Linked DNA regions of Cricetulus griseus. The protein of the gene in region 2 binds, or shares a complex with, the protein of the main gene of each other region. Links are inferred from orthologs where the notes say so. Each region holds a gene or a part of one and is shown on either strand. Other genes may lie near its edges.

Region 1 (4,148 bases), on a different chromosome or scaffold from region 2:
CATGTCCCCAGATGAAAGACGTGAACCCAGGATAGGTTTCTCGGGTGTGTTCGCCTCTCAGGCACCATCACCCTGCTTCCAGTTACCCTGTTTGCCCGGGGAAAGTAAAACTTACTCTACCCAGGGCAGTTACCCTAGAAATACACCTTCACGTAAATTGGTCTAGGAAGTGCCCCTCTTCCTGTCCCCTCCTCCGATGGTTCCCACATTCAGAGTACCGGCCAGCTACAGCGCATACCTACTCCCCGGCTTGTCTGCGCTCCCCACGCGGGAGTCAAACCCTATCAGAACCTCAGTTCCATCGTCTGCAACACCAGCCTCGACTACACCTTTTAATGAGCACAGCAAACGTACACTACAAACAGCCGCCCGCTGGACAAAGGGCGCCACCCCGTGGTCACATAGCAGAAGTCCACCTTCTCGCAGGACACGTCCAGTCCCGAAGGGGGCGCAGCATCTCACACAACTAAAGGGACCGTGAAGGGGAGGGGAAGGAGGGGAAGGAGGGGAGAGGATTTAAAAAAAAAAAAAAAAAAAAAAAAAAAAACCATCTTTCGGTTTATTGAAGGAGGGAAAGGGTGGGAGAGGGGAGCAATAAAATGCTTTTGCTTCGTTTATAAAGAGCGAGTTCTCAGGAGACCTCCCCTCGAGGACAAGCGGGGCATCTCTCTCCCCAACTACCAACAGCAGAAAAAGCCAAGCCAAGAAAGGAGAAGGAAATCGGAGGGACCCAGGAACTCCAAACGCCTGCTCTGACAGGAGCCACAAGCTCTCCCCCCACCCACAATGCATCTACCCTAGGGGATCCATCCGGGTAGGGGAAGAGGGTATATACACAGGTTAGGGCGGTACTGGGCTGGGCGGGGTAGGGAATAATTTATCCGCAAGAACTGCGGTGGGTGGTCTAGGGGGGGCGGGGTAAGTAGCCTATCGATGGCATTGGCGGCCTAGGGGTCCCTTTCTTTCTTGACCTTGATGTCTCCAGCAAGGATGGTAGCGATCTCGCCCTGCATGAAGGCCCAGGGAACGGAGGAACCCACCAGCGGACACTTGTCTCCGCTGGGGCAGTACACCTCTCCAGCTGGGCCCTGAGCTTTGATGAACTCTCGAGAGCAGGGGAAGCAGAACTTGTGTCCGGGTACCGAGGGACACTGCACGAAGTGGGTGTCTTCCAGCCTCTCTCTGCACAGGGTACAGCACAAGGGGGCTCCAGGGGTCGCCCCTGTGCCGCTACCACCCCCGCTGACAGCTTCAGCCCCGGCCGTGGGGCTGACCTCTGCCTCTCCGTTGCGCGACACCAGGCGATGCTGGCTTGGTGGCTGGGTCGTGGAGGAGGCGGCTGGGCTGGCTCCCCCTGTGCGCACCGGGCCTCCACCCCCACCAGGGTCCTTGGGTGAGTGGCCCAGGGCTTCGGCCACATTCTTGAGGGCGGCGATGGGCGAGGGCACACCAGGCGTGTCCGTGGAGTAGGGGCCACCCGGTGCCACCCAGTGCCGCTGCTGCTGCTCCTCCGTGGTCATCTTCCCGGCTGACTCGCCCTCGGGCTCGGGGGACGCCTTGCGCCGGCGTGGCGTGGGCGCCAGGTTCCTGGAGGGGGCTCGAGGTGGCGGGCCACACAGAGCAGCCGGGGTCGGTTCTGGGTACTGCTGAGGCAGGGCCTCGGCAGGAGCGGGCTCTCGGAAGCTGCGGACCCCGTCGGTGAGCAGCTCTCCCAGCTGGCGCCATTCCCCTGAGCCGTGGCGGCGTTCGTATTCGAGGTACTTGAAGCCCGACGAGGCCAGGGCCTTGCCCGGCTCCCGGAGGGCATCGTGGAACATCTGGCGGGCCACCGCCAGGACCCCCGCGTACACGTTGCCGGAGCCGCAGGGGTACTCGGTGAAGAGCTTCAGCTCGAACTCGTAGCCGGGGGGGCGGGCGGTGGCATCGAAGGCGAACACCCTTCCCACCAGCCCGTGGTCCTTCTTGAAGCGGACGTTGAAAGGGGCGCAGGCAGACAGCGCCAGTAGCTGCTCCCTCACAGCCTTGGGGCGCCCGTGCCACTCCTCCGCCCGGCCGCGCATGGCCTCGTTCAGTTCTGCCAAACAGTCCGCATTCCTCTGCTGCTTCTCCTTCTCGAAATCGGAGCCGAAGAGTGGACGGGCCGGGCTCAAGCCAGGTGCCAGCGTCAGGGCTCGCCCTCCGAGGCCAGACACCGCAGCTGCCAGCAGCCCGGGGGGCATCAGGCTGGGGATGGAGCCAAGCAGGGCCCGGCGAGCCCCTTCGGCCACCGCCTCGTCGCCGCGGCTCAGCCCGTTGGCCAGGCGGGACCCCAGGGTGTACTCCAGGGCCGGCGAGGGCAGCGCCAAGCGGCTCGACGAAGTGGCCCGGTCGTAGCGCTGCTCCGGGCCCGAGACGCTACCTCCGGTCCCCGATGGCTGCGCCTGGGCCTGCGGGGGCGGCAACTGGGAGCCCTGGGTGCCCGCCGAGGCCAGGTCCTTGGAGGTCGGGTGCTTGAGGGCCGGGGGTCCCGGCGAGCGGCCCTCGGGGAGCACGTGGCTGCGCTTGAGCTGGCGGGCGGCGTCGATGAGCAGCTCGATGCGGTCGGCGCCCTCGAAATTCACGCACCCGCGGCACACGGCCTCGCTGAAGTCCCACACCATGGCCCAAGGCATCTTGGGCAGGTCGCAGAGGTAGCACCACTGGCGGCGGGACGCTTGCACCGAAGCCATGGCGCCCCACCACCACCACACCGCACCGCCGCCGCGCCACCGATCCCCCCCCCGAACCCCCGGAGAGCCGCCGGGGGCCCCCCGCGGTGCACCCGCCGCCCACGTTCGCTCCGCCGGGCCCCGGGGATCGGGCGTGCGAGCCGCTGCTCGCTCGGTCCGGCCTCGGCTCGGCTGCGCTCGGCCTCCCCGCCGGATTCAGGCCCGGCCCCCCTTCCACGCCCCCTGGGCCCTGAGCCTTTTTTTTTTTTTTCCTCTCTCTCTCTCTCTCTCTCTCTCTCTTTTTTTTTCCTCTTCTCTCCTCCTCACTCCCGCCTCCCGTGGAAAAGGCAAGCCGCGAGCACGCACGTCGGCGCCCTCCTCCGGTCCGCACCGTGAGTCAGGATGCACAGCTCCAGCTCCCCCGATGGGCCTCGGGCGCCGCCGCCCCGGGCTCCCGCCGCTCGCCCCGCCGCTCGCCCCGCCGCCGCCGACGCCGCTGCAACGGCCGCCGCCGCCGCCTCCACCTCCTTCTTCTGCCCCAGAGGCCGCTTCGCAGGGAAAGTTACATAACGCGCGGGCAAAGCCTTCTGGGAAATGTAGTCCCGTCGGGGCTGCTTCTTAAAGGGGACTTGGGCAGAAAGCAGTGGCGGGAAAGAAAAGAAAAGAAAAGAAAAGAAGAGTGGGCGCGCGCCTGGCCCCTGCGTGCTTCCTTTCTTGTGGCTCGCCTGGGTTCGCAACACGGGGGTCCAGGGGACGGATCGTGGGTTCATAAATGCTTGGGGAGGACAAGTGCTGGGCATTCATTTTTTTTTTTTTCCCGCCTTCTGATGTTGAGACTTTGGATTTTAGCTTAGGCTGGCCTGAGAAGGCCAGCGTCGATAAGCTAGGCTGGCTTGAGACTGGCTGCGGCCCTCCTGCATCAGCATCCCTAGCGGCGGGGCTGCAGTGCTGGAACTCCAGGCCCAGAACCCCGGCGAGCATTTTCTGCTGCTGCTCTGATTTGCTGAGCAGTTTCAGAGAAGAGTCTTGCCCTCTCTGAGAATCCCGCCCCTCCAAGCAGGGCCAATGACGGGTGAGGGAGGCAGCAGCTTTTTTGAGATGGGGCGGAGAGGTTCTGATTGGATGCTTTCAAGGGACCGGGAAGCAGGCGACCGTGTTGGAAAGGGGTGTCTCCAAGCCACTTTGTCCTCCCCCAGGGGTGCGAGCCTCAAGGGAGGCCCGCATGCCACAGGATGAGGAGAGGACCGAAGGCTCCGGAGCCAGGGCCTCATCTGTCGAAGGAGGGGGCGCTGAGCGCTTTCCGAGTCGGCTCCAGTTGTGCAGGCGCTTTGGTCTCCAAAGGGTTACACAGTCCGCTTCCCCGCGCTCCCCCCAATCGCACTACAATTCCCAAAATGCTCTGCGAGATGGACGCACTGACGCACTTCCTCTGCCTGGAAGGTTGGGGGAGGCCTTCCCGAT
Region 2 (3,595 bases):
AAGTGTTCAGCATTTTACATGGAGGATTAGTCCATCCTCTAGGAATTACCAAATGCCCACACTGTGGGAATGGAAACCCAACTAAATCCCTTAATTAACAGATCCTGTTTTGATTCGTTTAGCCAATTTGTATCTGTCACATAGCCAACTTAGCCTCTGAATGACTATGGCCCTCACATTCTCAAGAATAGGGGGTACAGGAAGACATGGGCCAACAATTAGGAGACACCTTCTATTTCATCTAAACTAAGTTTACATTACTTAACAAATTACCTAAGTAAAAAGCTAAAATACAATGAAATGGCACAGGCCTATCATCCCAGCTACTTCATTCAAAGGCTAAGGCAGTAGGACTAAAATTTCAAAGCCTATCATTCCTGGGCTGCAGAGCAAATTCAAGGCCAGCCTGGACAACCTGATGAGATACTGTCTCAAAATAAAGAATGAGAAGAGGGTTGGGATACAGCTCAGTGGTAGAGTACTTAAGCATACATAGGCCCTAGGTCTAAACCCCAGTACCCTAAAAACAAAACAAACCTGGAAATGGTTCCACTGACTTCAAATTTTACAACAACAACAAACAAAAAATTTTGGATTTTTTGACTTTTTTTTTTTGGGGGGGGGAGGGTCTCTGTAGCTTTGGAGCCTGTCCTGGAACTCACCCTGTAGACCAGGTTGGCCTCAAACTCACAGAGATCCACTTGCCTCTGCCTCCCAAGTGCTGGGATCAAAGGCGTGCACCACCACCACACAACTTTTTTTTTTCTTTAACATTTGGAATTCTTAAGCAATAAATAATAACTTCAAAGTCTGGTTCTCCAAACCTCAGGCACACAGACACTCACATAAGAAGACAAGAAGCATCTGTCAGCTTGCAATTCTTGGCTCTTAATGGGACAAATCCTGTTAAGTTTATCATCATCCATAGCACCCCATATCAATAATCTTCTATAACATAAGCCAGATGGCCTAACACACCCTGCTGAGCAAAGAGACAAGACCATGACTGAGTGCCACAGGTTAGAGGCCAGTACTGTCAGGACCAGTGGGCAATGAGTCTGAAGTGAGACATGTTCCTGCTTGGTAGTCCTCCTAGCTCTTACATGTGCAACAATCACTTAATAATGATGCCGCCTATCTCCAGACACTCCTTAGAAAACCACTGTGCCAGCATACAACTCGGCAGGATCATTTACTGATAAGACACTGTGACCTACCTTTCCCAAAGAACAAGAAAGCCAAATGGTTCTGAACTATGACCTCTTCTTCAAAAGTAAAACTGTGAGTGGGGGAATGCTGAGTCCTAACATCGGAGAATGAAGATTCCTGGTGCTGTCCACCAGAGTCATGACTGTATCATGACACAGGCAGCTTTTAGTGTGGCTCTGACATTGCTCATCAAACTACTAACTACATCTCACTCAGAGACCCTGAACTCAGACACGTTTCTGTTCCTCCTTAAGACACTAATAACAAAGCAAGTGCCACAAATGATTCCTTTTCCTGAGTTCATTTCAACAAAATCTGCTATTTTTCCCAAATGTATGTCACACTGATCACATCACAAAGTCAGAGTCAAAAGGGAAAATTCTATTCTTATGATAATCTAGACTTCCTGGATTAAAAAGATTATATTCCTTAGGGGTCTACACCAGGCCTAAGCAGCTGACCAGACCAACACCCGAGCTTGCATGGTTCCCACAGGAAAGGAGAGAGATCAGTCAGGCTCCTTTGCTATTACAGGCATGGTCCTTATGCAACTTCCTTTGAAGAAAGAATGATTGGCACTTTCTCCTCAGTTAGTGTTAAAACAGCCAGCTGTTCTGGCCTTGAGTCCACATAGATGCCAAAACTTACACACAAGTGTTCACACTTCACAAGTGTTCACAGCGTACAACAGCCAAAAGCAAAAAAGATCCAAATACCTGTCAACTAACGATGTCACACAAGGGCAAGCCTGAAGCATGGGCCATGCAGTCCCTGTCATACAAAGAGAGGGCCAGAGTATGCAGCATGCAGTCTTTGTTATATGTGGGGAGTCAGGGAATGGGGAATACAGTCTCTGCCATATTAAGGCAGAAGCACTAATAATACAGCCCCTGTGTGCATAAGGACAGGACCAGAGCACAGGGAATGCAGCCCCTCTCCCTATGGAGGGAGGACAGGAACAATTATGGCCCTGTCACAATCAGTGCTCACAGGAATCCCCATTAACACAAGAAGATCAGCAGCTAAAAGGACTGGGTGGGAGGGCGAGGACTACTAACTGGTTTGAGGTTTCTTTGAGGGGGGGTGATAAAAAACAATTCGAGATTTAGATAGTGGTGACATTGTATAAACATGTGGATACACTAAACCAGCCTGTCACTGTAACAGACTAAGGCGGAAAGCTTGCAGAGGATTCAGTCCATGGTCATGGGCCCCACATGGGGACCCCAAGAAATCATGAGGAGGAGTCTGGGAAAGACAGACCACAGCACTTGCTCCTCCTGGCCCCTTGCAGATCCCCATCACAAAAGGCAGCCCAGCCTTAAGAAGACTGTACTTCCTAAGTCTGGCAATATCCTCTGGAAACCTGCAGAGAAATGCCAAGGACAGTGAGTGACTACTGCTGCAGGATCATAAAAGCTATTCCTCCTCAGGAAGCAGACCATCTAAGAAGGCACCTCCATAAGTGACACTGAAATCACTCTGGAAACACCAACAGACATGGAAGAAATCAATTTCTGTGTAGGTAGGGGAAAGCAAACATAAAACCAACACAACATGAGAGAGGCTCAGGTGCTGGAAGCCACAGTGGGCTTCCCAGTCGCTTTAACTTTCTTCATCACTTCTGATCCACTCCTCTTATCAACAATAAGCTACATGCCCTTCCAAACTAACAGCACAAAAGCACAATTATGGCTGTGCTGACAAGCAGAGCAGCCCTGGTAACGCACCTTCAGAGTTCAGGGTGATGAGTGTGACGTTGCTTCCAATGTTCTGGCTTCCTGGTTGGCCGCAGTTAGACACGGAGTCACTGGCCTCTGACCCGCTCTCCCCATCTTCATTGTGGCTGTCATCCTGACCTGGTACCTTCACCACGATGGTGTTCTGCCGACGCCCAGGAACAGCGCTGACGGGAAACAAACACAGCAGCCCACGCTGTGAGAGGGACATGAGTGGCACACTGAGACTAGCCCTGACTCACTGTGCTGTGTGGACTTATCCCAAAATGCCTAGCTGAGCATGGACCAATGTACAAAGTGGGTCCCCCAACATGCGGTGTGTCCCCACACACACCCTCCATGGAGATGAATAGCAACATAACACAGAAACAGTCTGAGGCCAAGAAGACACATAATATAAAGCAACTGCTTAAAAATATGAACAGCACAAAATAAATAAAATCATAACTCACTGAAACTCAGCTTAGAATCCTGCTTTCGGATCTCAAGAGATCATCCTAACAAGGCTGATGTGCACAATGGTCATTGTGTGTCAAAGAGCCCCCATCCATCCATCATCCATCCTGTCAGACACCCAAGGTGACTCAGCCTCAAAACACCTCCACACTCTCCATGACTCCCACAAACAAATCCTAGGAACAGCTTAC

Evidence for each region.
Region 1: Banp (region 2) and interferon regulatory factor 2-binding protein 1 share a complex: the UniProt entries of both Homo sapiens proteins name them as parts of the corepressor complex. The link is inferred for Cricetulus griseus from reciprocal best matches to the Homo sapiens genes BANP and IRF2BP1.

What each region holds. Positions count from the first base shown.
Region 1 is NC_048602.1:28,364,019-28,368,166, forward strand, and holds interferon regulatory factor 2-binding protein 1, read right to left. Parts: upstream 2,746-4,148; 5' UTR 2,709-2,745; coding exon 948-2,708; 3' UTR 529-947; downstream 1-528. UniProt on the Homo sapiens protein: Acts as a transcriptional corepressor in a IRF2-dependent manner; this repression is not mediated by histone deacetylase activities. May act as an E3 ligase towards JDP2, enhancing its polyubiquitination. Represses ATF2-dependent transcriptional activation.
Region 2 is NC_048596.1:198,630,142-198,633,736, reverse strand, and holds part of Banp (protein BANP), read right to left. Parts: intron 3,116-3,595; coding exon 2,940-3,115; intron 1-2,939. UniProt on the Homo sapiens protein: Controls V(D)J recombination during T-cell development by repressing T-cell receptor (TCR) beta enhancer function. Binds to scaffold/matrix attachment region beta (S/MARbeta), an ATC-rich DNA sequence located upstream of the TCR beta enhancer.